7 linked regions of the Macaca mulatta genome follow. The protein of the gene in region 1 interacts with the protein of each later gene in a pairwise test. Links are inferred from orthologs where the notes say so. Each region holds a gene or a part of one and is shown in the gene's direction. Other genes may lie near its edges.

The links.
Region 2: the proteins of KRT40 (region 1) and MTA1 interact in binary tests that used the Homo sapiens proteins (3 or more experiments, as listed by UniProt). The two-hybrid records come from large-scale screens. The link is inferred for Macaca mulatta from reciprocal best matches to the Homo sapiens genes KRT40 and MTA1.
Region 3: the proteins of KRT40 (region 1) and SH2D4A interact in binary tests that used the Homo sapiens proteins (3 or more experiments, as listed by UniProt). The two-hybrid records come from large-scale screens. The link is inferred for Macaca mulatta from reciprocal best matches to the Homo sapiens genes KRT40 and SH2D4A.
Region 4: the proteins of KRT40 (region 1) and RWDD2B interact in binary tests that used the Homo sapiens proteins (3 or more experiments, as listed by UniProt). The two-hybrid records come from large-scale screens. The link is inferred for Macaca mulatta from reciprocal best matches to the Homo sapiens genes KRT40 and RWDD2B.
Region 5: the proteins of KRT40 (region 1) and ATPAF2 interact in binary tests that used the Homo sapiens proteins (3 or more experiments, as listed by UniProt). The two-hybrid records come from large-scale screens. The link is inferred for Macaca mulatta from reciprocal best matches to the Homo sapiens genes KRT40 and ATPAF2.
Region 6: the proteins of KRT40 (region 1) and FARS2 interact in binary tests that used the Homo sapiens proteins (3 or more experiments, as listed by UniProt). The two-hybrid records come from large-scale screens. The link is inferred for Macaca mulatta from reciprocal best matches to the Homo sapiens genes KRT40 and FARS2.
Region 7: the proteins of KRT40 (region 1) and HDAC4 interact in binary tests that used the Homo sapiens proteins (3 or more experiments, as listed by UniProt). The two-hybrid records come from large-scale screens. The link is inferred for Macaca mulatta from reciprocal best matches to the Homo sapiens genes KRT40 and HDAC4.

Annotation. Positions count from the first base shown.
Region 1 is NC_133421.1:65,360,202-65,362,786, reverse strand, and holds the end of KRT40 (keratin, type I cytoskeletal 40), read left to right. Parts: intron 1-413; coding exon 414-634; intron 635-1,140; coding exon 1,141-1,240; 3' UTR 1,241-2,085; downstream 2,086-2,585. UniProt on the Homo sapiens protein: May play a role in late hair differentiation.
Region 2 is NC_133412.1:178,885,956-178,889,455, forward strand, and holds part of MTA1 (metastasis-associated protein MTA1), read left to right. Parts: intron 1-222; exon of another isoform or gene 223-675; intron 676-1,304; coding exon 1,305-1,422; intron 1,423-3,500. UniProt on the Homo sapiens protein: Transcriptional coregulator which can act as both a transcriptional corepressor and coactivator. Acts as a component of the histone deacetylase NuRD complex which participates in the remodeling of chromatin.
Region 3 is NC_133413.1:20,954,097-20,958,375, forward strand, and holds the start of SH2D4A (SH2 domain-containing protein 4A), read left to right. Parts: upstream 1-1,479; 5' UTR 1,480-2,121; coding exon of another isoform or gene 2,122-2,167; intron 2,168-2,242; exon of another isoform or gene 2,243-2,423; intron 2,424-3,516; exon of another isoform or gene 3,517-3,618; intron 3,619-4,279. UniProt on the Homo sapiens protein: Inhibits estrogen-induced cell proliferation by competing with PLCG for binding to ESR1, blocking the effect of estrogen on PLCG and repressing estrogen-induced proliferation. May play a role in T-cell development and function.
Region 4 is NC_133408.1:18,479,810-18,483,997, forward strand, and holds the start of RWDD2B (RWD domain-containing protein 2B), read left to right. Parts: upstream 1-1,388; 5' UTR 1,389-1,535; intron 1,536-4,188.
Region 5 is NC_133421.1:19,597,943-19,601,442, reverse strand, and holds part of ATPAF2 (ATP synthase mitochondrial F1 complex assembly factor 2), read left to right. Parts: intron 1-3,131; coding exon 3,132-3,176; intron 3,177-3,416; coding exon 3,417-3,500. UniProt on the Homo sapiens protein: Plays a role in the assembly of the F1 component of the mitochondrial ATP synthase (ATPase).
Region 6 is NC_133409.1:177,928,686-177,932,837, reverse strand, and holds the start of FARS2 (phenylalanine--tRNA ligase, mitochondrial), read left to right. Parts: upstream 1-1,352; 5' UTR 1,353-1,720; exon of another isoform or gene 1,721-1,753; intron 1,754-1,886; exon of another isoform or gene 1,887-2,023; intron 2,024-3,165; exon of another isoform or gene 3,166-3,307; intron 3,308-4,152. Other genes in the region: LYRM4 (LYR motif-containing protein 4), read right to left, coding at 1,011-1,096. UniProt on the Homo sapiens protein: Is responsible for the charging of tRNA(Phe) with phenylalanine in mitochondrial translation.
Region 7 is NC_133417.1:144,295,744-144,299,057, reverse strand, and holds the end of HDAC4 (histone deacetylase 4), read left to right. Parts: intron 1-679; coding exon 680-764; intron 765-1,887; coding exon 1,888-2,029; intron 2,030-2,366; coding exon 2,367-2,406; 3' UTR 2,407-2,814; downstream 2,815-3,314. UniProt on the Homo sapiens protein: Responsible for the deacetylation of lysine residues on the N-terminal part of the core histones (H2A, H2B, H3 and H4).

The DNA of each region.
Region 1 (2,585 bases):
CCCTTCCCAGCCTCTGGTATCCAGAGCCTCTTCTCCTAACAGCACTATACTACCCCTCCCTGCCAAGAGCCCAAACTCAATCTTTCCTCTCATATGCTGTTGATAGTCCTTAAGCTTCACAAATAAGTCATGTATTGCTGTAGTCATAGTGGTGGTAGTGATAGCTGACATGTAGAACAGTGGCAGTACGGCTGGCACTGTTCTAAATGCTTTACACATATTAACTCTTAATCTTCACAACCCTCTAATGAGACAAATACTTTGCATATAGAGAATAAAACTGAGACTCACAGAAGCTAAATAATTTGCCAGTGGTCACATAGCTAGAAAAGGGTAAGCAAGGATTTGAAAATAGGCACTCTGGCCCGAGAGACTGCACTTCATGGTCCTTTGGACAATGTTTCCTCCTGCAGACAGAATCTCTGGAATGCACCGTGGCAGAAACCGAGGCCCAGTACAGCTCCCAGCTGGCCCAGATTCAGTGCCTGATCGATAACGTGGAGAACCAGCTGGCCGAGATCCGCTGCGACCTGGAGCGACAGAACCAGGAGTACCAGGTGCTCCTGGACGTGAAGGCCCGGCTGGAGGGCGAGATCAACACGTATCGGGGCCTGCTGGACAGTGAGGACAGCAGGCAAGTTCCACAGTTACTCATGATATCCCCCAGAGTCACAAAGAGGCTGATGTAAAAGAATCCTGTTTCCCCAAGGTCTGGACAAGTTCAAACCTCCCCAATGTGCTCAGGGATCTTCTTAAAAGAGGGCTGAACAGTGGCTGAGGTTAAGCACATGACACTAGAGATATTTTTAAAATATTATAAAGGCAGATTAATTATTAGTGTAACATTTCATACTGGCATCTCCCTTTGTTCCTGTTTTCCACTAAAGGAAAATCAGGAATAGGCCTGAGATAACATTTGCAAAATCAAGAAAAAATATAAAATTCTATTCAACTGCCACTGCTACAGTGAACATGAAGTGGCAATTCTGGGTGCGGAGAAGAAACAGGCTTCAGTCAATGCTATTGTGCAGAGTTTTTTTCAGAACATAATTTGTGGACAAACTTTGACATGGTTTGTCTGAGTTTCCATTTTATCAAGATTCCCTTGCTAAGCTTGGTTTAACATCAATTTTTCCCCAGGCTTTCCTGTAACCCATGTTCGACCACATGCACCTCGAGCAACACTTGTGAGCCATGCTCAGCCTATGTCATCTGCACGGTTGAAAACTGCTGTTTGTGAATGTTAAGGACAGCAGGTAGAGGAATCAAAGCCGGCAGCATCCTAGAAAGGAGATGGGGCTTCAACAGGGGCATCCAAACAGGAATCACAAATCCAGGGGACGCTCATATCCTGGAACTGCCCTCCAGGTATCCTCAGTCTTTCTGCTTTACTATTTCCTCTCCTTCCGGCTTATTTGTGGTATGCTGGGAGCCCATAAAGTGTTCTTGCTCATCTCCAAATAAAACATGTTTTACTCCTTTCACATGGTAAATATAGCTCTATGGCTGATTAGTGTTGATAGAATATTCATTTTATGGCAAGAGAATCATCTAAACCCATAACCATAGTTTCAACATACAAAAACCCAGGTTGAAAATATTTTTTAACTCCTCAAATACAAACACATTAATGAACCCATGCAAAATGTCATATATCTTAGAAAACAGTTGTGTGTATCTTTCTGAGAAAAAAATTAGGAATAGAATAATAAATTGTATTTTTTTATTATAAAAGTACTAGATTCTCTTTTCTGTAATTTGGCTGATTAAAAGGGAAAAGGTCACTTATGATTTCATCTTGCAAACAGCCATAGTCAATATTTTGGGGTACTTTCTTCTGGTTTTCTTTCTTATGATAGATTTTTCCACACAACTATAATCATACTAACATATGCACACACTTGTGTAATCTTTCTTTCATTTATGTCATCTAAGCATTTTTAATTCTAATCAAAACATAAGATTGTATTGTAGCCATTTTTTGTTTGTTTGTTTGTTTTGTTTTTTAATTTGAGGCAAAGTCTCCCTGTGTCGCCCAGGCTGGAGTGCAGTCGCGCTATCTCGGCTCACTGCAACCTCCACCTCCCAGGTTCAAGCGGTTCTCCTGCCTCAGCCTCCCGAGTAGCTGGGACTGCAGGTGCATGCCACCACGCCAGGCTAATTTTTCGTATTTTTTTTTTTTTTTTTTTTTAGTAGAGACAGGGTTTCACCATGTTAGCCAGGATGGTCTCGATCTCCTGACCTTGTGATCAAGGTCCTTGTGATCCGCCCACCTCAGCCTCCCAAAGTGCTGGGATTACAGGCATGAGCCACCGCACCCAGCCTGTAGCCATCATTTTAATGGTTGCATAATGTACCATAAGGTGCATTGATCTGTTATTGGACATTTAGGTTATAAGAATAATTATTCTCATACATTTAAGAGACAAGGTAGAGAACTTCCAGAATGATTCTATTTCCATATTCCTCCTCCTAAAAACCCTGGAAATTACATATCGAATAAACATAAGAAGACTCTGAAAGGTAGAAGAAGAAGCCAAACCACCTAAAGATATTGAGACCCCAGGAGTGACACTGTGGTGGGC
Region 2 (3,500 bases), on another chromosome or scaffold:
GATTGTGCCCCTGCCTCGCCTCAAATAACCCTCACTGATGAAGTCCTGACGAACACGGACTCACATCACAGATAAGCAGGAGTGCAGAAACATCACACAGCGGTCACACACACACCCAGGCCCTGGCCGGTGGAGCAGTCCGGCACCAAATAGAAACCATGTGTGTTTATTAATTTAAAGAAATAGGCCGGGCGCAGCGGCTCATGCCTATAATCCCAGCACTTTGGGAGCCCAAGGCCAGGGGAATCACTTGAGCTCAGGAGTTCCAGAGCAGCCTGGGCATCATAGTGAGACCTCAACTCTACAAAAGTAAAAAAAATTAGCCAGGCGTGGTGGTACGCACTTACTGTTGTCCCAGCTACTCGGGAGGCTGAGGTGGGAGGATTGCTTGAGTCAAGAGGTGGCAGCTGCAGTGAGTCAAGATCGCACCACTGTACTCCAGCTTGGGTGACAGAACAAGACCCTGTCTCCAAAAAAAAAAAAAAAAAAGATCCAGGCAGAGTAGGAGCTGAGGCTGAGCCTGGCAGCTGGCCTCTGGATAGTCGTGTCAGTTCGAGAGGATGAAGGCCCTGCTGCAGCATGGCTCGTGGTCACACATGGAACAGGTGTCATGCTGGACTTTAAAGGTAGCTCTTGAAAGAAAAAACGCAGAGTAGCTTTCAGAATAGGTGAGAGGGAGCCCGGCACGGTGGCTCACGCCTGTAATCCCAGCACTTTGGGAGGCCGAGGCAGGTGGATCACCTGAGCTCAGGAGTTTGAGACCAGCCTGACCAACATGGTGAAACCGTGTTTCTACTGAAAATACAAAACATTAACCGAGTGTGGTGGCGGGTGCCTGTAATCCCAGCTACTTGGAAGGCTGAGGCAGGAGAATTGCTTGAACCCAGGACGCGGAGGTTGCAGTGAGCCGAGATCGCGCCATCGCACTCTAGCCTGGGCAACAAGAGCGAAACTCCGCCTCAAAAAAAGAAAAAAAAGGCAAATAAGTCATGGTTTTTGGGCTGCAGTCGTATCCACCCTGCCTTGGTAAGGGCTTGTGGAGCCTGGCCCCGCCCCTGTAGCTGCTCAGAGGCCCCGCCCCTGCTGACCCTCAGCATGTCTCCTCCGGGCAGGGTCATGGGGCAGGTGCATCCCCCGGTGACCCTCGAGGCCCCGCTGTAGGCTCCTCCCGGGCATGGCCGGGAGCTGTGGGGGCTCCTGTGCCCTCCCTCCGGCACCTGTGTCACCCTGCAGGAGCTCTGGGCAAGACCCTCCCGGCAGCCCGGGCGTGCTAACGCCTCTCTGTCTCCTGTGGTGTTTTCCAGGATTTCTTCTTCTATTCTCTAGTCTACGACCCACAGCAGAAGACCCTGCTGGCAGATAAAGGAGAGATTCGAGTAGGAAACCGGTACCAGGCAGACATCACCGACTTGTTAAAAGAAGGTAGGGTGGGCCGCCCTGGGCGTGGCGTGCTGCGTCCCGTCCTGCGCTGCCGGCTGACACACTGGGCAAGAGGAGGCTGGGACACGGCCGCCGTGTCAGTAACTCCTGTGTGACTGGGGGCAGCAGGTGCAGGCCTGGGCTCTGTCCACACGGGTGGTGTGTGTGGGCTGGTGTCCCAGAGCCTTCCCCCACCCACTGCTGGTGGTGGTGTGGTTCTGGGGAAGCCCCAGACCCTCAGGCAGGACGTGGTGGTCAGTTGTCCCTGCACAGTGAGACCTGGTTTCCTTGTGGCAGTAGTTTTTCTTTTTCTTTTTTTCAGATGGAGTCTCGCTCTGTTGCCCAGGCTGGAGTGCAGTGGGGTGATCTCAGCTCACTGCAACTTCCACCTCCTAGGTTCAAGCGATTCTCCTGCCTCAGCCGCCTGAGTAGCTGGGATTACAGGCACCTGCCATCACACCCGGCTAATTTTTTTATTTTTAGTAGAGACAGGGGCTCACCGTGTTGGCCGGGATGGTCTTGAACTCTTGACCTCAGGCCTCCCAAGGTGCTGGGATTACAGACATGAGCCACCGAGTCTGACCTTGGCAGTTGTTTTTCACTACTTTTTTTTTTTTTTGGACAAGGTCTAGCTCTGTTGCCCAGGCTGGAGTGCAGTGGTGCGATCATAGCTCACTGCAGCCTCAACCTCCCAGACTCAGATGATCCCCCCACCTCCGCCTCCCGGGTAGCTGGAACTACAGGCACGCACCACCACACCCCGCTAATTTTTTTGTATTTTTAGTAGAGGCAGGGTTTCGCCATGTTGCCCAGGTTGGTCTCAAACTCGTGACCTCAAGTGATCTACCTGCCTTGGCCTCCCAAAATGCTGGGATTACATGTGTGAGCCACTGCGTCTGGCCTTGTTACTTTTTTTTTTTTTTTTTGAGATGGAATCTCGCTCTGTCGCCCAGGCTGGAGTGCAGTGGCCGGATCTCAGCTCACTGCAAGCTCCGCCTTCTGGGTTTACACCATTCTCCTGCCTCAGCCTCCCGAGTAGCTGGGACTACAGGCGCCCGCCACCTTGCCCGGCTAGTGTTTTGTATTTTTTTTTTTTTTAGTAGAGACGGGGTTTCACCGTGTTAGCCAGGATGGTCTGGATCTCCTGACCTCGTGATCCGCCCGTCTCGGCCTCCCAAAGTGCTGGGATTACAGGCTTGAGCCACCGCGCCCCTCTCATTAGTTTTTTAAAGTTCTTTTTGTCTCCAGAAATTTTCTTCTGTGTAAATCTGCCTGCGTTTCTTGTGTTGCCTGTGGGTGCCCCACCCTTGAGGTCTGATGGGGCCATGGAGCTCTGACGCAGCATGCACTCCAGACGCAGGCGGCCTCCTCCCTCCGCCGGGTGCTTCAGCAGCCCTGGTGGGAAGTCCTGAGGCTCACTGTCACCTTCTCAACCCTGTCCCTCATCTCCCCGCTGGGCAAGGCTGTGAGGCTGCCCTCAAGACGCAGGGCTCTGCCCTGAGGGTCGGCAGGGACTCGCATCCCTGCTTCTTGTAGTTGTGATCGAGGTGTTTGGTGATTTTCCTCTTTTGGTTTGCTTTGAGAGTGGGTCTTGCTGTGTTGCCCAGGCTGGACCTGAAGTCCTGGGCTCCAGCGATCCTCGAGCCTCAGCCTTCCGAGTAGTTGGGGCTGTTTCGTGTTCTTGGTTGTCCATAAGATGCACCGGTGCCACCTTCCCCAGGCACCTGCGGGCTCTAGCACTGGGCTAGCAATGTAGTGGGCCTGCTGCTTTGCAAGCTCTGGGAGGTGCTGGGCAGTCGGGGACAGACCCCCCCTCTCTCCAGGCACACAGGGCACGTTGAGGCCTGGGTCAGCGTGGGGAGGCCGCTGTGCTGAGGCCTGTGGGTCTGAGTGTGGAGAGGCCTCTGTACTGGGGCCTGTGGGTCTGAGTGTGGGGAGGCCTCTGTGCTGGGGCCTGTGGGTCTGAGTATGGGGAGGCCGCTGTACTGGGGCCTATGGGTCTGAGTGTGGGGAGACCTTTGTGCTGGGGCCTGTGGGTCTGAGTGTGGGGAGGCCGCTGTACTGGGGCCTATGGGTCTGAG
Region 3 (4,279 bases), on another chromosome or scaffold:
AGTGAAACTCCATCACACACACACACACACACACACAAAAAAAAATTATTATTGTCTACTTTTGAAATTAAGGGAAAAACATCGAGCTTTTCTCTTCCAGACCATGCCAATTAAAAGGAAATTCCAGGAGTCAGGAGAAAGGGAACAAAAAGAGAATGTGGTAGAGGCGAGGGTAGACCAAGTAAAGAAGATGGAGAAGAAACTATAGAAATAAGAGAAGAAGAGATCATGCCAAATACAGGAAAGAGGCATGAGACAAGAAGGATGGAAAGGGGCAGAGAGAAAAGGGAAGAGTCTGGGTTCTGAGCTGATTGTGCTATTTGTGTACAGTGTGTGTTCCTTTGGGCTGTTAACATTCTTTCAAGATAGAAGCTCCAAGATGTTTCCTTACCTAATCTCCTAAGTGGCATACCATCATCACTTCTGCCGGGTTCTATTGGTCAAGCAAACCAACCTTTACAAAGTGGCGGGGAGCTATGCAAGGGTATGAATAACAGGAAGACGGGATCCCTGGGAATGACTTGGAATGTAAGTGGCATGGTGGGCAGAACCATAGCCTAGGGTGAGATAGCAGGAACCTGGAATTATAGTACCTTAATGTGATATGAACTGATCTGAGCAAATGTGTTTGAACACTCACCACATGCCAAGAGCTGTTCTAATCCCTTTGCATGCGGTATCTCATTTAACCCTCTTAACAACTTACGGAGGCAGACACTCTATCCAGAGAAGAAATTGAGGTACAGAGGTTAGTAGCACAGTGACAGAGCTATTATAAGGAAGGACTTGTCAGGACCTGGAGAGAGACTGGGTATGAGAAAGGTAAGTGGCTGTCACAGTGTCCTATGGGATTTTTCCAGATAAACCACCCTGTATAGTTAACCGATCCATCCATGCAGGGCTAGGATTCATTTCGACCTCGCCATAGTAGCTTTCCAGGGGCCAATCCCACTCCAGCCTAAAGCACCCCATAGGCTATCATTTAAACTGCAGTAGGAACTAAGCCTTAGACCAGAAATTTCTCCCTGATGGGATCCCTGGAATGGTTCCTAAATAGCTGGGTCTTGTTTCCTGACAATGCCGCCTGCCCCGAGGCTTGATGTGACTGCATAGCTTCTGCCGTTTGTAAAGGCGGGGAATGACGTTTTATGTTTGAACCCAGCAGGTCAGGCTCCTGAAGAGGTCAGGTAGTCTGTGGAGAGGACTACTGGTGTTTGCTATTTATTACATCTCTCCCAACACATAAAATCTGGGGTTCACCAAAGCAGGCGGTTTTCTTCCACATACTCCTCTAGGATGGAAAATGCCCTCCAGTGGAAATGCCTTTCCACTCTGCTTCTGCTGAATTTTCCTCCAAGATTTCCTCTAACTGTGGACTGCCAGCTCCTCCCTGATGTCTTCAGGCCCCAACCCAACCTGTTCTTGTTGCAATCCACAAGACTCCTTTCAGCATCTTAACTTTTTCCCCAGTTTTCTTTCATTTTCTCCTGGTCTGTGTTGACTGCGGTCTCCTTCTCAGCCTTTTCCGTCCTTCATCTTGTCCTACAAAGCCACACCTGTACCGACAAGTGCCAAAGAGTTTGATCATTTACTTAATGTCAACAAAAGAAAGAAAAAAAAAGCTCTAGAGTCGCCTTGGCCTGCGGCACCCAAGCCGAGTGAACAAGTGGGGCCCGCGCACCCTCCTACCCTCCACCTCGCATGGAACCCCGAGCTCTGAAACATGGAAAGGCCCAGACCTGCTGATTTAATCTAAGTCCTGCAGTCCCCAAGAGATCATAGACTGCAGATCCCAGTCCCACGAACTAAGAGAGGAGAGGAGCAAGGCTACCCCGGACTACCGCAGCTCGGGGACAGCGCGCAGACCAGGCGGCCCGAGATGCGCAGGCCACGCAGCCTGGCCGACGACTGTCCCTGGAGAGCCTCCAGGCGCCCGGGTGGGGCCGCGATCGCGCCCCGCTAGTCACCCGGCATGTGGGCGCGGCGGGGCGGCGCGGGCGGGCCGGCTGCAGGAGCTGTTTGGCGTCCCGGTCAGAGTATTTGCTCAGCCCGCCTGCGCCGCTTGGGACGCTTCTGCCTTTCCCTCCCTCCCTTCCCCGACGGCTTCTGGCGGCCAAGTGGATGTGGCGGGTGATCGGGCCACCCTGCCCAGGGGCGCCCAGCACTGGTAGGTGCTGGGGTTGGGGAGAGGCTTTGGCGAGAGTGTGCATGGGGTGGGAGTAGGGGGAAGGGAATTTCCTCGGGGGTTGCAGGGGTGCATGGGAGGCGCAGGGGCCAGAGGGGGCGGGCGGAAGCCTCACCCCCGCCTCCACCCCTTCGCGCCGCCCGGGGCGGGCTCAGGTGCGGGGTTAGGCGGCTAGAGCGGCTGCGGCGGGTATCCGGTGTCCGGTGTCCGGTGTCCGGTGACTGGAGCCGCTGGCTAGGTGAGCGGCTGTCCCCGGGGTCTGGGGGCTTGCAAGGGGTGGCGGGGGGAACTTCGAGGGAGAGGGTCTGCCGGAGCTGAGGACTTTCGGGGAAGTTCTGGGATCCGGCGGGGACACGCGGCGCGTGCTTCTACCCGCAGGGAGTGCAGGCCCCGGGAGGGTCCGGGCTGGACTGGAGTTTCTAGACTCCTAGCAGGAGCACGTCCTGGACCTGCGCCTGGAGATCTTCCAAGAGGGAAGTCCCGGGAAACAGTGGCAGCCGGCGCAGCACCCCGGCAGCGCGTTCCCCGCGCGCCGGCACCCAGGGGCGCCCCCAAGTGGGGTCAGGGCGCGCGCGGAGGCCCGTGCAGCGCCGCCTCCCAGGGGCTGCTGCGGCGGGGCTGGCCCAGACCCAGACCGGGTGCCCACTGGGCTCAACCAAGCGGCGCCCCTGCCCGCTCCTGGACTCGGGGGTTACGCGGGCACCGGAAGGAGCTACAGTTTGTAGGTTTTCTGAGTTGTCTTTCCCTTCCCAGGGAGCTTAGAGAAACAGCAAGCGTGGCACCTCCCCCTTCCGAACAGATGCTCCTCATCGCCCAAAAGGCTTTTATTTGATTGCTGGTTTAATGGAAACAACGACTTGGGTACCATTATTTTAAAATAGTGAATAAATAAGTGGAAAGCATACAGGGGCATAGATTTGGCATAGGAGTGGAATTTTCTATGTATACTAAATCTGTGTGTACAGTAACTTCAAATTTCTGAAGAATAGTATATATTTACAAAACTTGCCAAATTGCTGTCATCTCTGGTAATTTGTTTCATCTCCAAAAACAGCTCTTTTGCTGGTAGATGAATAAGATAAAGTTTGAATAAGAAAACAAAGCTCGACCACAGAGCTGGCTGTTTTAAAAGAATTAGAATTCAAGCTGTATTGTTAATGTTATAGTTACACTGTCCATACCACAATACTTTTATTTATTTTTTATTTTATTGGGTAAGTGCAAAAGTAGTTGTGTTTTTTATGGCAAAAACCACATTTATTTATTTATTTAGGCCATAAAAAAACACAATAACTTTTGCACCGACCTAATGTTTTTCATTTTTGAGGCAGGGTCTCCTTCTATCACCCAGGCTGTAGTGCAGTGGTGCGATCTTGGCCCACTGCAGCCTCAAACTCTCCAGCTCAAGTGATCCTCCCACCTCAGCCTCCCAGGTAGGTCGGACTCTAGGTGTGGGCCACCACACCTGGCTAATTTTTATATTTGTGTAGAGATGGAGTTTTGGCATGTTACCCAAGCTGGTCTCGAACTCCTGAGCTCAAGCAATCCACCCACATTCACCTCCCAAAGTGTTGGGATTACATTTTGAACCACTGTGCCTGGCCTACTATTTTTATGATTTAGGCTGTATCTTAGGCCTTTAAAATTTTTTATTTTGTTTAGGTATCAGAGTTATCCAAAAGACAGTTGTATGGTAGAACAGTGTGAAGGTGTGAGAATCAGGTCAAATCTATGGTATCATGGAAAACAACAGATTCTCTGATCCTTTAGCAATTGCTGTTCAGAATAAATTGCAGGTGTGGGCTTGCTTCTTATCATTTCTCTCTTTTAAGAAAGGTGCTGTGTTAGCTGAGCTATTCCTTTGTTGGATCTTGAATAACTGGAGGTTTGCTGCCCTTGATATAGTATGGGAAAGTCCTCAGCATTTGAATCCGTATCAGCAATGATTATTTGTTCTCGTCAGGGAATGAAAGTGGGAAAACCCTGGTTAGTTAATTTCCTCATTTCTATTTCTTCTACCGTGGCTCCACCAGTCTCCTTCACTTCACAGTAGATTATGTCACATACCGACTCATTAGGAGTCACAGACTGAAC
Region 4 (4,188 bases), on another chromosome or scaffold:
ATTTTGAACCAGCAAATTTGTTATCGTCACGGGATGTCCTGTTCATTGTAGGAAGTTGAGGAGCATCCCTGGGCTCTACCTACTCCATGCCAATAGCATCCTTCCAGTTGTGACAACCCAAAATGTCTTCAGACACTGCTAAATAGAGGGGAAATCCGTCCTTCCCCTTCTTTTGAGATCTGCTCCACTGTAAAATTCTCTCGACTTTGCTTTACACTTGAATTTTTTCATAATAAATGTTGGAGGAAAAAATAAATTATTACATTGAAAAATGCTCATGAAACACCATGCAGAAGATGTAGTTTATGAACACCTACAATACATACTGTCGTCTTTTTGTTTAAAAAAAAAGCGGCAGGGGTGGGGGGGGAGAGCTAGCAGTGATATTTAGTATTGCTAAATGTCAGTGTTTACAAATCGTATCCATGACACTTCTAAAATAAATATTATAAGGTGTATTCCATATAGTTGGATTGGGAAGAAAAACATTTCCAATTACCCTCCTGTCAGCATCTCCTTCAAACTACCCTTTTATTAAGAGGGAAAAATATGCATTCACACGGTTCCTCCCAGCTTGGTTAATGGGCGAGAACACCTAAGATAGCTAAGGCCACCATGCATCCAGGCTCAGATCTCCCTAATTGCCCTCCTCCTCCATGGTTCAGGGACAAGGAGGATCACGACTGTGTGGGAAGATACTAGAAATGCAAAATTTGGACCCCCGCCCCTACCTACCGAATCTTGATCTGCATTTCAACAGGATTCCCGAACTATTCCTAGGCACGTTCGAGTTTGAGGAGCATTAACGGACCGATTATTTGTCCCTGAAAAGAGCCCACTATATAGACTGACAGTGGCAGCCGCTGGGAAATGACAACGGGGTTGGCATGGAGAGTTATTAAGAAGAAAAACTCCAGCCGGGAGCGGTGGCTCAGGCCTGTAATCCCAGCACTTTGGGAGGCCAGGGGTGGCGGATCGCCTGAGGTCAGGAGTTCGAGACCAGCCTGGCCAACATGGTGAAACCCCCGTCTCTACTAAAAAATACAAAAATTATCTGGGCATGGTGGTGGGCGCCTGTAATCCTTGCTACTCGGGAGGCCGAGGCAGGAGAATCGCTTGAACCCGAACCCGGGAGGCGAAGGCTGCTGTGAGCCGAGATCGCGCCACTGCACTCCAGCTTGGGGGACAGAGCGAGACTCCGTCTCAAAAAAAAAAGAAAAAAAAAAAGAAGAAGAAGAAGAAAACTCTGCGACTGAGAAGTACCTAGCAGGGACAAAGCATTCCCTTAGTCGTTCCAGCTGCGTACACAAACACTGGCGGACCCGGCGCCCGACCGGCCAGCTCTAGCTTCCGGCCGCGGCCCTGCGCGCGCATGCGCCGTGCGCCTTGTTTTTTCTGATAGGCCGCTAGGTGAGGCGGTTTGTGAGTTTTGGGTCGCAGTATACTAGAATTTTGAGGTTTCCTTCCGGTGAAAATTGAGCTGTCCGTGCAGCCATGGAACCCGGGTTACAGCAGTGAGGGGGCCGCGACTCAAGGTTAGTCTCGCCTCAGCGCCAGTGGCGAGCGTCACGGGGGTTTCCCACGCTGCAGCGCCGGGCGCAACACTTTGGGAACGTTCCCGGCATGGCTGCCCGCCTCCCCTCACTGCAGGCGCCCATCGGTCGGTTTGGACCTCGGCGTTGCTTCCCGGCTTCAGCAGCCCCGCTCCAGCCGGCGACCTCGCCCCGAGGGCAATCAGGGTGCGAGGGTGGCTGCGTGCTGGGCATTCTTCCTGAGAGCTTCGTGGCTTGGGTCGCGGGGTACCGTGCTCCGTTTTTCAAAAAAAAAAAATCTGCAAGGAAAAGATATTATTCCACTCAGAAATAGCAAGTTTCAGTCTACGTTCTCTTAAATATATATATATATTTTAAATAATAGTAAAGGCGAGGTCTCCCTGTGTTAGCCAGGCTGGTCTTGAACAATTGGGCTTAAGCAATCCCCCTTTCTCCCAAAGTGCTGGGATTACAAGCGTGAGCCACCGCGCCCGGCTACAGTCTATTTCCTTACAGCATTCGCTGAAATCTTGAGTCATAAAATTATCTTGAGGGTTTTTTGGAAGGACTGAAATCTCTTAAGCGAAAATAGTTTGGCAGATAAATGACCTGTGACATCACTCCCGTAGTTATCCAATCAAGAGTCCCTCCGTCCCGTACTTCTTCGCTATTCCATTTCATCTTTGCTACCTACAATTCGATAGGACCCTCTCCCGACTTTGCTCACTCCCTGGGAGACTTTAAACAAATATATAGCTCCAAATAAGTGTTGACTCCCAAAATTATATCTGTAGCTCAGTCTCTCGTAGACTCCAAAACTGTATATCTAACTGCATGCTAGGCATCTCTATTTAACTAACAGTGTCTTAGTAGGCGCTTCATTACTTCAGCTCTCCATGAAGCTCTCCTGAAGCTCTCCATGACCACACCGTCCAAATAAATGGCACATCCATACTTTCAGTAGCTTAACGCCTTGGAGTCATTCTTCCGTGTCTCATGTAATTCATCTGTAAATCCTGTTGCCTCTTTTCTCTCCATGTATCCAGAACCTGAAGTTTACCAACTTGACCACTATAATCCTATCCAAGCCACCATCCTCTCTCCCTAGTTATTGCGGTGTCTATCTGGTTACCCCACTTTTCCTTTCACTTTTCTCCGTAGCAGCAAGTGTGGGGATCTTCGTAAGTCAAACCTCTCTTGTAGCTCTTACGTATCAGTCGGGATAAAATTCAAAATTCTGGCCATGCTTTACTAGTCCCAACATAAACTGCCCCACCTTTCCTTACTAAACTCTTTCATTCCCCCTGTCCCCAGCTCACTGTGCGCTGGCCAGCTGCTCTAGCACCCTCCTACCTCAAGGCATTTGAACATGCTGTTCACTTTCCCTCGAACACTCTTGGCCAAGAAAAACACATGGCCTCCTTTTCAGTTCCTTAAAGTCTCTTCCCTACAGTCACCTTAGGAGAAAGGCCTTTCCTGACGACCCCTTGTGCAGTCTCACCCCCCTGCTGCCTTATTGTTTCCCTTGTCCTTGTTTTCTTCAGGTTTCTTCACAGCAGTTATTTACTGGATATAAAAATTCTTTTTTGTTTTTTTTGAAACAGTCTCACATGTTGCCCAGGCTGGAGTGCAGTAGTATGATCTTAGCTCACTGCAACCTCTGCCTCCCCAGTTCAAGTGATTCTCCTGCCTCAGCCTCCCTAGTAGCTGGGACTACAGGCGTGTGCGACCACACCTGGCTAATTTTTGTATTTTTAGTAGAGATGGGGTTTCATCATGTTGGCCAGGCTGGTCTCAAACTCCTGACCTCAGGTAATCCGCCCATCTCATCCTCCCAAAGTGCTGTGATTACAGGCGTGAGCCACCGCACCTGGGCTGGGCATATAAATTTGTTTTTGATGTCATGGTATCCTCCCACCAGTAGAGTTGTTTTATTACTTTCATTCATTGTTATCTTAGTGCCAATGCTTGAACGTAAGTGCTTTAGAAACATTTGTTGAAATGATGACCAGGCCGGGCTTGGTGGCTCACGCCTGTAATCCCAGCACTTTGGGAGGCCGAGACGGGTGGATCACAAGATAAAGGAGATCGAGACCATCCTGGCTAACACAGTGAAACCCCATCTCTACCAAAACTACAAAAAATTAGCCGGGCATGGTAGCGGGCACCTGTAGTTCTAGCTACTTGGGAGGCTGAGCCAGGAGAATGGCGTGAACCCAGGAGGCAGAGCTTGCAGTGAGCCGAGATCGTGCCACTGCACTCCGGCCTGGGTGACAGAGCAAGACTACGTCTCAAAAACAAACAAAAAAAGAAATGATGACCAATAATAATAATAGTAATAAGCGGCCCGACACCGTGGCTCATGCCTGTAATCCCAGCACTTTGGGAGGCCAAGGCGGGTGGATCACAAGGGCAAGAGTTCAAGACCAGCCTGGCCAATGTGGTAAAACCCCATCTCTACTAAAAAACCCAGAAAGCAGAGGTTGTAGTGAACCAACTCTGCACTCTGGCCTGGGTGACAGAGCTAGACCTTGTCTCAAAAAAAAAAAAAGGTTTTTAAATTAATAATAATAGCAGCAAGCACACATAAAATTTACTTTGTTGCCAGGCACTTTCCACAAATTCTCATCTAATCATCACAGCAACCCTCTCATCC
Region 5 (3,500 bases), about 46 Mb from region 1:
TAGTGGTCTGTATTCCTACTACACAGTAAGTGGCTGGAGGGTGCAGAGATGAGCTTTGCACATGTCCCATTCCCAGGACTTACCATATGTCCTGGAACATGATCACTACTCACCAAAGCTTGTTCCAAGACACGTTTGCCCCTCCACGTGTCAGTGGGTCATTCAGGAGAGCCCCTGGCTAAAACACATCTATGTGTACCTGCCTTCTAATCTGAGGACTGGCAGCCCCTGGGCTCCTTTTGCCCTTCTGCTGTCTCATTTTCTGCATGATTTTCTTCTGCTTTAAGCAATTTTGGTGGCTCCTTCCCTGCCTTCCGTCTATCCCACTCCCGTCTAGTTTTTTCTTATTCAGTTACAGAAGTGAGCCTGGCCAAGAAAACAGAAAAAAGACTTCCCTCTTGGGAAACCTGGCTGTCCCAGGAGCTTGTGAAGGTTCAGCCCTGTGCTGGCAGTTCCTGCCCTGAGTCTGTTCTTCTGGCCCAGGTCTCTTGGGTTCACTTCCCAGACCAGGCCTGGAAGTATGCTAGAGTGCTCACTCTTGTATACTTGTACACTCTTGCTGGCACTTCCTGCTGACGTGGGAAGACCCTTTCCCTAGTGTTGAGTCAGAGCTTTCAGAGCCCTTCCCAACTTCCTGCCTGGCCCGGTTTTATACATGCTGCCCAGCCTGTTGCATTGAAAACATGGAGGGCATGGTCTACCTCACTCCAGACCTGAGAGAGGAAAGGAGGCCTCCAGACCCATGTCTAGCCTGCCATTTGGATTTGACCAGGACAGTATGTAAAGAAATTTAAAAGCACTAGGGTGCTGTAAACTTCCAATTTTAGTGTAAAACATACGAGATAATCGGTGTTGTGATTTCAGATGAAAGTGCTAAATCGTGCCATAGAAAGACAGCATCATCTTGGTGGACAGATCTGATCCTAAAAAAAACTTTAAACTCCCTGTCTATTTTATTGACTCTTGTATCCCAAGTGCCAAGGCACATGGTAGACACACAAATATTTTTGTGGGAAAAAAATTGGGGCCTTAGTTTAGTAAGTGCAAATGTGGAATGCAATTTTGGGCCCTCTGTCTTTAAGTATTAGTGATAGCAAATGAGATTTATAGAAAACTGATATGATGGGAAAACATAAAAATATTTGGAGTAAAACCAGTTGCCTGCTTCTCCATTACCCTTCCCTCTCCATGCACACATACTAATTTCTCCTGAATTTTCATGGTCTGTTTGAATTAATGAAATTTTAACTTAAGCTTGTTTATTATTGTTGTTGTTGTTGTTGTTTTGTTTGCTTGTTTCAAGAGACGGTCTTGTTCTGTTGCCCAGATTGGAGTGCAGTGGTGACATCACAGCTCACTGCAGCCTCAGCCTCCTGGGCTCAAGCAGTCCTCCTGCTTCAACCCCCCTAGTAGCTGGGACTACAGGCATTTGCTGCCATGCCCGGCTAATTTTTTATTTTTGTATTTTTTTATTATTATTTTTTGAGATGGAGTCTTGCTCTGTCACCCAGGCTGGGGTGCAGCAGCACAATCTCAGCTCACTGTAGCCTCTGCCTCCTGGGTTCAAGCGATTCTCCTGCCTCAGCCTCCCGAGTAGCTGGGACTACAGGCATGCGCCACCATACTTGCTAATTTTTGTATTTTTAGTAGAGACAGGGTTTCACCATGTTGGCCAGGCTGGTCTCGAACTCCTGACCTCAGGTGATCCACCTGCCTCTGCCTCCCAAAGTGCTGGGATTACAGCGTGAGCCACTGCACCCAGCCTTATTTTTGTATTTTTTGTAGAGATGGGGTCTCATCATGTTGTCCAGCTTGGGTTTTGAACTCCTAGCCTCAAGCAGTCTTCCCACCTTGGCCTCCCAAAGTGCTAGGATTATAGGCATGAGCCACTGTGACCAGCCTTTTTTTTTTTTTTTTTTTTTTTTTTTTTAGCATTAAAAGCAAATTATTTGGCTGGGCATGGTGGCTTACGGGTGGGATCACTTGAGGTCAGGAGTTCGAGGCCAGTCTGGCTGGCATGGCAAAACCCTGCCTCTACTAAAAATTCAAAAATTAGCCTGGAGTGTTGGTGCACGCCTATAATCCCAGCTACTCAGGGAACTGAGGCAGGAGAATCGCTTGAACCCAGGAAGCGGAGGTTTCAGTGAGCTGACATTGTACCACTACACTCCAGCCTGGGCAAGAGAGTGAGAAGCCATCTCAAATAATTAAATAAATAAATAAAGCAAATGATTTACTCTTTTTTCCTCCACATGCTGCATCATTATTTCCAATAAATAACTTCAGTTAGGGCCTCCGAAGACTTTGAGAACTCAGTGAACACATGAACGAGTGAACAAACGAATGAATGAATGAAAGTTTTGTGTTTGTCACAGATGTGAGAGACTAAGTTATAGCTTATAGCTTCCAAAATGTGACTTCTTTGTTATCAGTTGAGGGAATCTGCATAATTCCTTAGAAGTACTCTTGATTGTTAATCCCTCCAGGCTAAAAGAAGGAGACTGTTTCATGTAAGATTTTATTCAAGTTAATTTCAAAAGAAAACACAGGACACAGATTTTCCCTTTCTTGAAGGAAATGTTTGGAGTTCCTGTTGGATACATAAGCAAGCTGGTTAATTAGGTTAATTAATTGGAGAGAGGGGATGGGAAATGCCCTTGGGAGCTCTGCATCCTGCCTATGTACCTCACACGCACACCCTGCGCAGGCACACTGGCTTTCCACTCACTCCTTAGAGGCATCAGGGTCTTGGCTGAAATGAGTCTCTAGCTTTGTCCCACTCAGACACCGACTTTAGGTTTGTGCTGGCATGGGGTGGCACTGGTGGTGGGGAGGGTGGGAAAGCATGCCGAGATGCTCCTGATCAGACTTGTCCCCAGGCTGGGGGGTTGGCAGAGGCATGACCAGCATGTCCTGTTCCTCCCTCCTCCCTGGAGATCGGATGCTCCCTACCCCCAGCTTTAATCAGAAGCAGTTGATTATACCATGTTGAGTAGGGCAGACCTTGAATGGGGATATGAAAATCAAGCCAATCAATCAACATTAGCAGTAATGATACAAGCTGGTCCTGTCGCTTCCTGAGTTGTCTCAACGTTATTTTAAACTGCCTCTTTGAAAAATCTTTCTTACAGAAAGGAAGAGGTTTTATCAGAATGTCAGCATCACACAGGGTGAAGGTGAGTGTCTGAAATTTTGACTGCCTCTTTTTTTTTTTTTTTTTTTTTGTGAATGGTCGGGAACATTTTTCATCTTCAGCTGGTTCCGTGGTGAGATTATCCTTCCTGCTTTTGTCAGATATATTTCTGTAAGGGACTCAGAGTTGGCTTTGTCTGCACCAATTCAAGTGGCTAAATATAGGAATGGTCACTTGATTCCACTTAACAAATCCCTGAGAGTTTTTCATTTGATCTTTCAAGGTGGCTTTGAGATAAACCTGGACCAGAGGAAGCTGAAAACTCCCCAAGCCAAGCTCTTTACCGTCCCCAGTGAGGCCCTGGCCA
Region 6 (4,152 bases), on another chromosome or scaffold:
GAGCGCGGCCTACCTAACCAGGTGTGTTCCAAGGGTAGGCTCTGCTCTTATGACATCCAATCCACAGTCTGGCCAGTCACCTAAGGGGGCCTTGGGGTAAAGAGATGAGTTGATCCAATCCGATTCTTATGGGAATATGGCTCAAACTCAGAGAGGAGCAGGTAGTTAGTAAAAACAAAACAAAACAAAAAACAAACCTAAAAAAAATGCAGAGAGAATCCATAAGAAAATGATGGGTCACAACCAGCAACACTGTGAAAGCAGAGGTTCTGAATTACAAAAAACATACAAAGAGTAACAATAAAAGACTCATAGGCAAATAGGGAAGTGGGGAGGCGTGGGAAAAAGTGAATGTGTTATATTAACGATGTAAGAGTTTAGGCCCTCAGTATTCTGCTGTCAAGGTCCAGGAAGCGGGATCTCTGTCTGGTGAGCCAGGATAAACTGTTTCAGCTCTAAAGCTTGAGACGCTTTTTCCTTTACCGCTACACGTTTCCACCGTACCCTAAATAGAATGGATTTGATTCTTGCAACCAAAAGAACTCATTACGACACCCAGGAAATTTTAGGGAGGTGCTAGAGTGTGCCTTCAGTTTTGTCGCTGTGTGCAACTCACTGGCCACTTCCACTCTCAACTCTTCCAGCTCAAGGGAAGTTTTACATATGCAACACATTGGCCTTAACTTCACCAATGGCTGATTTCCATCCTTTTTTTCTCTTCTGCAGAAACATAACACTAATTATGCTCCTAGAACAACTACCAAGATAGTCGTTAGGGGGAAAGCGTCACAGGACACGAACGTCTTCCCTGATAGAAACAAGGGCTCCTCCCCGAGGTCTCAGAGGCCACACCTGTAGGTAGGAGCACGCTTTTCGATGGCGGAGCCCGGTCCTTGCCTCGCGGACGCCGGCGCAGGACAGTGGCTCCCAGTTCCCGGGGACATTCCACGGCAACCCACATCCCCGGTCCCCGGCCCCTGGCCCCCGGTCCCCGGTGCCCGCTGGGTCACCTGTAATTGTAGGAGCTGAAACGCTTGCTCTCTCTCAGCATCGCCCGGTACAGATCTAACACTTGTGCGCGACTGGAGGCTGCCATTTTGGAAAGAAAAAAAATTAACGGGTCCTCTTCGCCGAGGTCCCAAGTACGACCCAACCTCGGAACTCCAGCCTGTGCAGAAACCACGCACGAAATAAAATGCAGCGGCTCGACCTTGCCAGCGGGCCGGTCCTAAGCCTAAGCCGGCAGCCCTGCGGACCGCAGACCGCGCCGGGCGTCCCGCGCCGCTTCGGGGGCGGGCGAAGGCAGGGCTCGGGGCAGCTAAAGGGGCGGTGCAAGGAGGGAGATGCCTCCGCCCCGCCCCGCTCCCGCTTCCGCCCCCGCCGGGAGGCTCGGGATCCAGCAGCATCTCCACGCGGCCGGAGGGCGAGAAAATAAGAGGCCCGGCCGCCCGTGCATCCAGCCAAGCTCCTGGGGGACGGATATTGGGGGTCCGGGCATTCGAGGGACGTGCAGTCGCATCACGGAGAGCCTTTGCGAACCGTCTGGGGTTTTGGCGGAGACATTTGTGTTTCGGGGCGCAGCGCCCCTTTGTGCCTTTAGAAGGCCGCGTTGCCCGGGTTACCGAAGGCCGCCGCGTCGACGCCCCGCCCCTGACAGCCCCGCCCACGCTGGCGGCGGCCGCCCTCGCCGCTGCCTGAGAGACCTTGCGGGATTTCAAGGGTGACTTAACTTCGCCCGATCATGGTCGGCAGGGTGGGATTTATTGGCATTCCTTGGGCCGGGGGATGCGACGTCTGGGTGTGGAGGTGATGAGACAGGGGTTCCGTGGCACTCCGGCTCTGCTCAGGGCGACCTGCGTAGGGGCCTCCGGGGCAAGGCCCGCTTTCCGTCAAAATGGCAGCGCCCAGCGTGCACGGGTATCTCTGAAGTTGGGGTTTAAGATTCTTGCCCGTGAGAGCCAACGAGCCTGCCGTGCTTCTGATTTTGAAATACCTGGGTCTGGGTTTCCCGGGCGAGCGGTGGGTGAGTGCCGACCTCGTTGCAGCCTGGGGTAGGACGTGGGCGGTTCGTGTGGTTAGGGGGTTACATTGGCCATGGATTTTTTCCTCTTTCCGGATGTGTTTTTGCTTTTGAGTGAAGAGTCCCCGTGGTTTTGTAGTCTAATAAATGCGTAAAATGCAGCTTGGGCTCTAGACTTTGGAGAATAATTTGAGCCCGTTAGGGCTTTAGGCGTTCTCCAAGAAGCGGAGCAAGTTTTCAACCATGGCTTTCTTCAGAAGACTTCAACTTTTTTGAATCATTTTATTAAAGTGGTGGATAAAGTTGCTTTTTCTGATCTTTGAGCATGGGACTGGACGCTGGAAGCTTCAGCCAGTTCTAGTTACTGTGTTTGCAAAGCACTTTTCTTGTTTTTGGAATCTTGCTTTATGTAATCAACCTTAGGAAGAACCCCACCTTTCCGCACTCGAGCACAGCGAGGAGTACCTTATGCATAAAAACAAAACAACTTTGCATTAAAATCCATCTTTCTCCCAACCGCTTGGTCACGGTTGTGTTCTCATCTGCTTTAGTGTATTTGGTTTTAAAACGATAAACTTGCTGTATATCTAAGCAACTTTATATTTTCAGGAACTTTTTTTTCCCTTTTATTTATTTATTTATTTTTTTGAGATGGAGTCACTCTCCGTCGCCCAGGCTGGAGTGCAGTGGCAGGATCTCGGACTCACTGCAACCTCCGCGTCCCGGGTTCAAGCTATTCTCCTGCCTCAGCCTCCCGAATAGCTGGGATTACAGGCGCGCGCTACCTTGCTGAGCTAATTTTTGTATTTTTAGTAGATACGGGGTTTCACCATATTGGTCAGGCTGGTCTCGAACTCCTGACCTTGTGATTCGCCTGCCTCAACCTCCCAAAGTGCTGGGATTACAGGTGTGAGCCACCACGCCTAGCCTCTATTTTCAGGAACTTTAAAGGCAGGAAACACTTCTCTGACCTTACCATTCTTTAGTGTACTTGCAACCTGGTGTCCTTGCATCCAGATATTCTTATTAATCCTGATGCAGGGAGAAAATACTTTCATTAAGATACCTTTAAGTCTCCTCCCTGACTTCTTGACAATCTCATGTCTGTGATTTTGTTTTTGTTTTTTTGTTTTTTTTTTCAACAGGATAGCAAAACTTCTGTTACTTCCTGGTTGGTCAGGTCGTTGAGCAAATCTACCCTCGGGTTTATTGAAAAGACTTTTTTGAGGTTTCCCTTTGGTATTTCTTAAAGGATCCAAGACCAAGGCAATTGCACATTGTTACAGAGTAAGATTCAGAGCTGATTTCTCTTGATACACTGTTGTGTGCTGGTGATATGAAATGATATGCGGCACCTTAAAGCTGCAACATTAATGCAAGTTGCTGATAGAGAATGCTATCAGAGTGAAAAGGAAAAACTTGAAGATTATTTTGGCTTGTTTAAAAATAGCAAGGATTATGTTATTTATATTTTGCTTTTGAGAGTAAAGTTGGAATAACTATATACAATTGTTTCTACCTAATTATCAAGGAATTTAATCATTAATGTATATGGTATATCTAAATGACTCAACTTTGTTGTAATCAAATAAAACTTTTCCAAATAAATATGTATAGTTTAAATAGTTTGGGTAGCTTAGTCCTCCATTAGTACGAGCAATGGTTGCAGTTAGGAAAGTGATAGCTTCCCGGTTAATTCTGAGCCAAATCTTCACAAAAATACCTCATTATTTTATTTAAAATGGTTTACCAATGTGTTGGACATCATTGCCTGGAGAAACTAAAGGAAAATAATCATTCTGAAGCTACATCTCACTTTTGCACATCTTCACTGCAGAGATTACATAAAACAAAACAAAACAAAAAAAACTCTATTTGAGATTGTAAGTAGAATTGGGCCAGAAGCTGAAGAATGGACCTTACACATATGTCCTTTAATATGCATTCTATTCTGGGTTGAAATTTTTCTTAGCGAATATCTGTAAAGTAGGAGGTACCATTTAGGCATCAAAACATAAAAATTTCTTTAGTATTCGTTTATCGAAAGTTACCGACTACCTGTAGTTCTTTATGTAAGATCATTTATTACCTTCTATTAAAATTAGGGTTGTCAATGACCACTTAATGCTTTG
Region 7 (3,314 bases), on another chromosome or scaffold:
ATCCACCTGCCTTGGCCTCCCAAAGTACTGGGATTACAGGCATGAGCCACTGCACCTGGCCAGTCAACCATTTTTAATTGTTGTATTGCAAATGCTTTGCCCTGTTGCCCTGTCATTTACCTATAAACTTCTTCCCTGCTTTTATCTGCTGCCAGTACTTAGGGAAAAACTTGGTGTGCAGGATTCCCTCTGAGAGATCTGACTTCTTCTTCCATTTCATCTCCCCCAACCCCACCTTCCACTGCCCTGAAAGAAAACCAAGATCAGGGGATATTCAAACATTTTTATTTATTAATGAAAGACAAGGAAAAGGAAAATGATGAAGTAAGCATCCCTCCCCCTAATGTAACCCTGTGGCATCGATGGTGGATACCAAGCTCACATGCTGGTGCCAGCCCATTCCTGGGGGCCGTCTTTCTTCCTGCTACTTGTAGGAACCCACAAATATACCTTATAGTGCCCTAAAAAAATGCCTACATAAATCCACTTTTACAAAAAAGTTATATAATAAATGCCACAGCACATTTGACTTTTTAAAGTTATTTTTTTCTACTCTATGGGCAAATGCACCCCACAAGGGACTCTGTGCTCAGGAAACAGTTGCAGTCTCGGTACACCCCATCTAATGTACGTGTGGATTATATTGGCAGTCTTTATATTCTTACGTATTTTCTTCCAGCTTGATCCTCTCCCAGAAAAGGTTTTACAGCAAAGACCCAATGCAAACGCTGTCCGCTCCATGGAGAAAGTCATGGAAATCCACAGTAAGTTGCCTGGCCGGGTGCTCACAGGGGACACGCTCCTGGTGGCGGGACCCCACTGCCCCACATCCCTGTCCCCCTATACCCCCAGCTCTTCTCTATCCCACTGCCAGCTGCTTCCCCAGGCCTGCAGCAGGAGGCCTTGCTTTCAGCTGCATTTCTTGAGCTAGTAGAGACTCACATTTAACTCCCACTGGATTTTCGCCGGCCTACTGGGATGGTTCCATCAGCCCATTTTGTAGGTCTAGAGAATCAAGGCCCAGACAGTCTCAGTGTGAAGTCACTTGCTCTAGGTCCCCAGCTAGCAGTGGGAGCCATGGCTATGAACCTGTACCCTGGGGACTCCGGCCTCTTCCCTGGACCAGAGAAGCCCACGTCCTTAGATCAAACCTTTGGCCCTGCAAAGAGGCAGGATGTAGGCCCTCCGCGTTCTGGCACCGACCCTCAAGGAGTGGGTCCTGGGTGCAAGGGCGTGGCATGCAGCCTGTCTCAGAGGCACCTCCCACACCCTGTCATTGTTGCAAGCCCAGCTTGTCTTGCCTTTGAGATGACCCAGATGATTGACTGTCTACACAAGCAGGTGTAGTCCAGAGCTTGACTCTCCATTTCCCTGTGTGGGGGAGTCCTGGCCTTAGAGCCCTGAAGCTGACCCTGGGCCAGGCCCAGCCTTCCACATACACCCGCTTGTACCTGATGCAGGACCCCTCCACCCCCAGCCTCTGTGAGGGCCCAGGCAGAAGATCCCTCAGCCCCAGCAACAATCCACCAGCTCATCTTCTCCCAGAGATAGGAAGGCTCAACCCAGCAGGCTGGCAGCCCCCACTCCTGAGCTCCCAGGGCAGAAAGGAGCGTGGAAAGCCAGGCCCACAGGAGCCTCTGTCTGCAGTCCTAGCTGCTCCTGGAGGGACTCGAGCCACTCACGATGGGGAAACATTTCCAGAGATTCTCGGTCTTCGCGAGCTTGTAGCCATGCAGTCCTCTGCTTCGCGTCTCTTCAAAGACGGGTGCTTTTAAAATCATAAGGGATCAATCTCGTTTGAGGCTCAGGGTCCCGCAGGACCCTCCCGGGCCGCCGTGCATCCTGCTAAGGTGTAGTCACTGAGCGACCTTCCTCACCCCACCCCAGGCAAGTACTGGCGCTGCCTGCAGCGTGCAACCTCCACGGCAGGGCGTTCTCTGATCGAGGCTCAGACCTGCGAGAACGAAGAAGCCGAGACGGTCACCGCCATGGCCTCGCTGTCCGTGGGCGTGAAGCCCGCCGAAAAGAGGTGAGCACCTGCCCTGCCGGCCACCTGCCCTGCTGCCCACCTGCAGGCTCACCCAGCCCCACTGTGTCCAGGGACACTCTGTTCAGGGTCAGAACATTTATGGCATGTGCCATGCCAAACAGACTAGAGACAGGCCAGCGGGGCCCCCTCCTTCTAGTGCCAAAGCCCCTTAGAGACGCATGAGGAGCGTTAGATACTGAACAGATGGACCCGGTGCCCCCGGGCCTGGGTAGGCTGGCGGGTGGGGCAGCGCACAGCCTTTAACCCACATTCTGTTCTCTCCTCTCTGTGGTCCACCTGCCCCATGCCCTGTCTCTTTCTCTTGCGGGATCCACAGAGCAGACGAGGAGCCCATGGAAGAGGAGCCACCCCTGTAGCACTCCCTCGCAGCTGCTGTTCTCTTGTCTGTCTGTCTCTGTCTTGAAGCTCAGCCAAGAAACTTCCCCGTGTCACGCCTGCGTCCCACCGTGGGGCTCTCTTGGAGCGTCCAGGGACACCCGGCGCACAACAGCCACGGGAAGCCTTTCTGCCACCCAGGCCCACAGGTCTCAAGACGCACATGCACACCTGGGTGTGGCAGCCTCACAGGGAACACGGGACAGACGCCGGCGACGCGCAGACACACGGACACGCGCAAGCCAAGCACACTCTGGTGGGTCCCGCGAGGGGCGCCGTGGAGGAAAGAAGCCTGTGGCAACAGGCGGCCGAGCTGCCGAATTCAGTTGACACGAGGCACAGAAAACGAATATCAAAGATCTAATAATACAAAACAAACTTGATTAAAACTGGTGCTTAAAGTTTGATTATTACCCACAACTCCACAGTCTGTGTGTAAACCACTCGACTCATCTTGTAGCTTATTTTTTTTTAAAGAGGACGTTTTCTACGGCTGTGGCCTGCCTCTGTGAACCATAGCGGTGTGCGGTGGGGGGTCTGCACCCGGGTGGGGGATGGAGTGACCTTTAAAGAAAACAAAACTGGACAGAAACAGGAATGTGAGCCTGGGGGAGCTGGCTTGAGTTTCTCAAAGCCATCGGAAGATGCGAGTTTGTGCCTTTTTTTTATTGCTCTGGTGGATTTTTGTGGCTGGGTTTTCTGAAGTCTGAGGAACAATGCCTTAAGAAAAAACAAACAGCAGGAATTGGTGGGACAGTTTCCTGTGGCCAGCCGAGTCTGGCAGTGCTGGCACCGCGAGCTGGCCTGACGCCCCAAGCACGGGTACCAGCCGTCATCTCCGGGGCCAGGGGCTGCAGCCCGGCGGTCCCTGTTTTGCTTTATCGCTGTT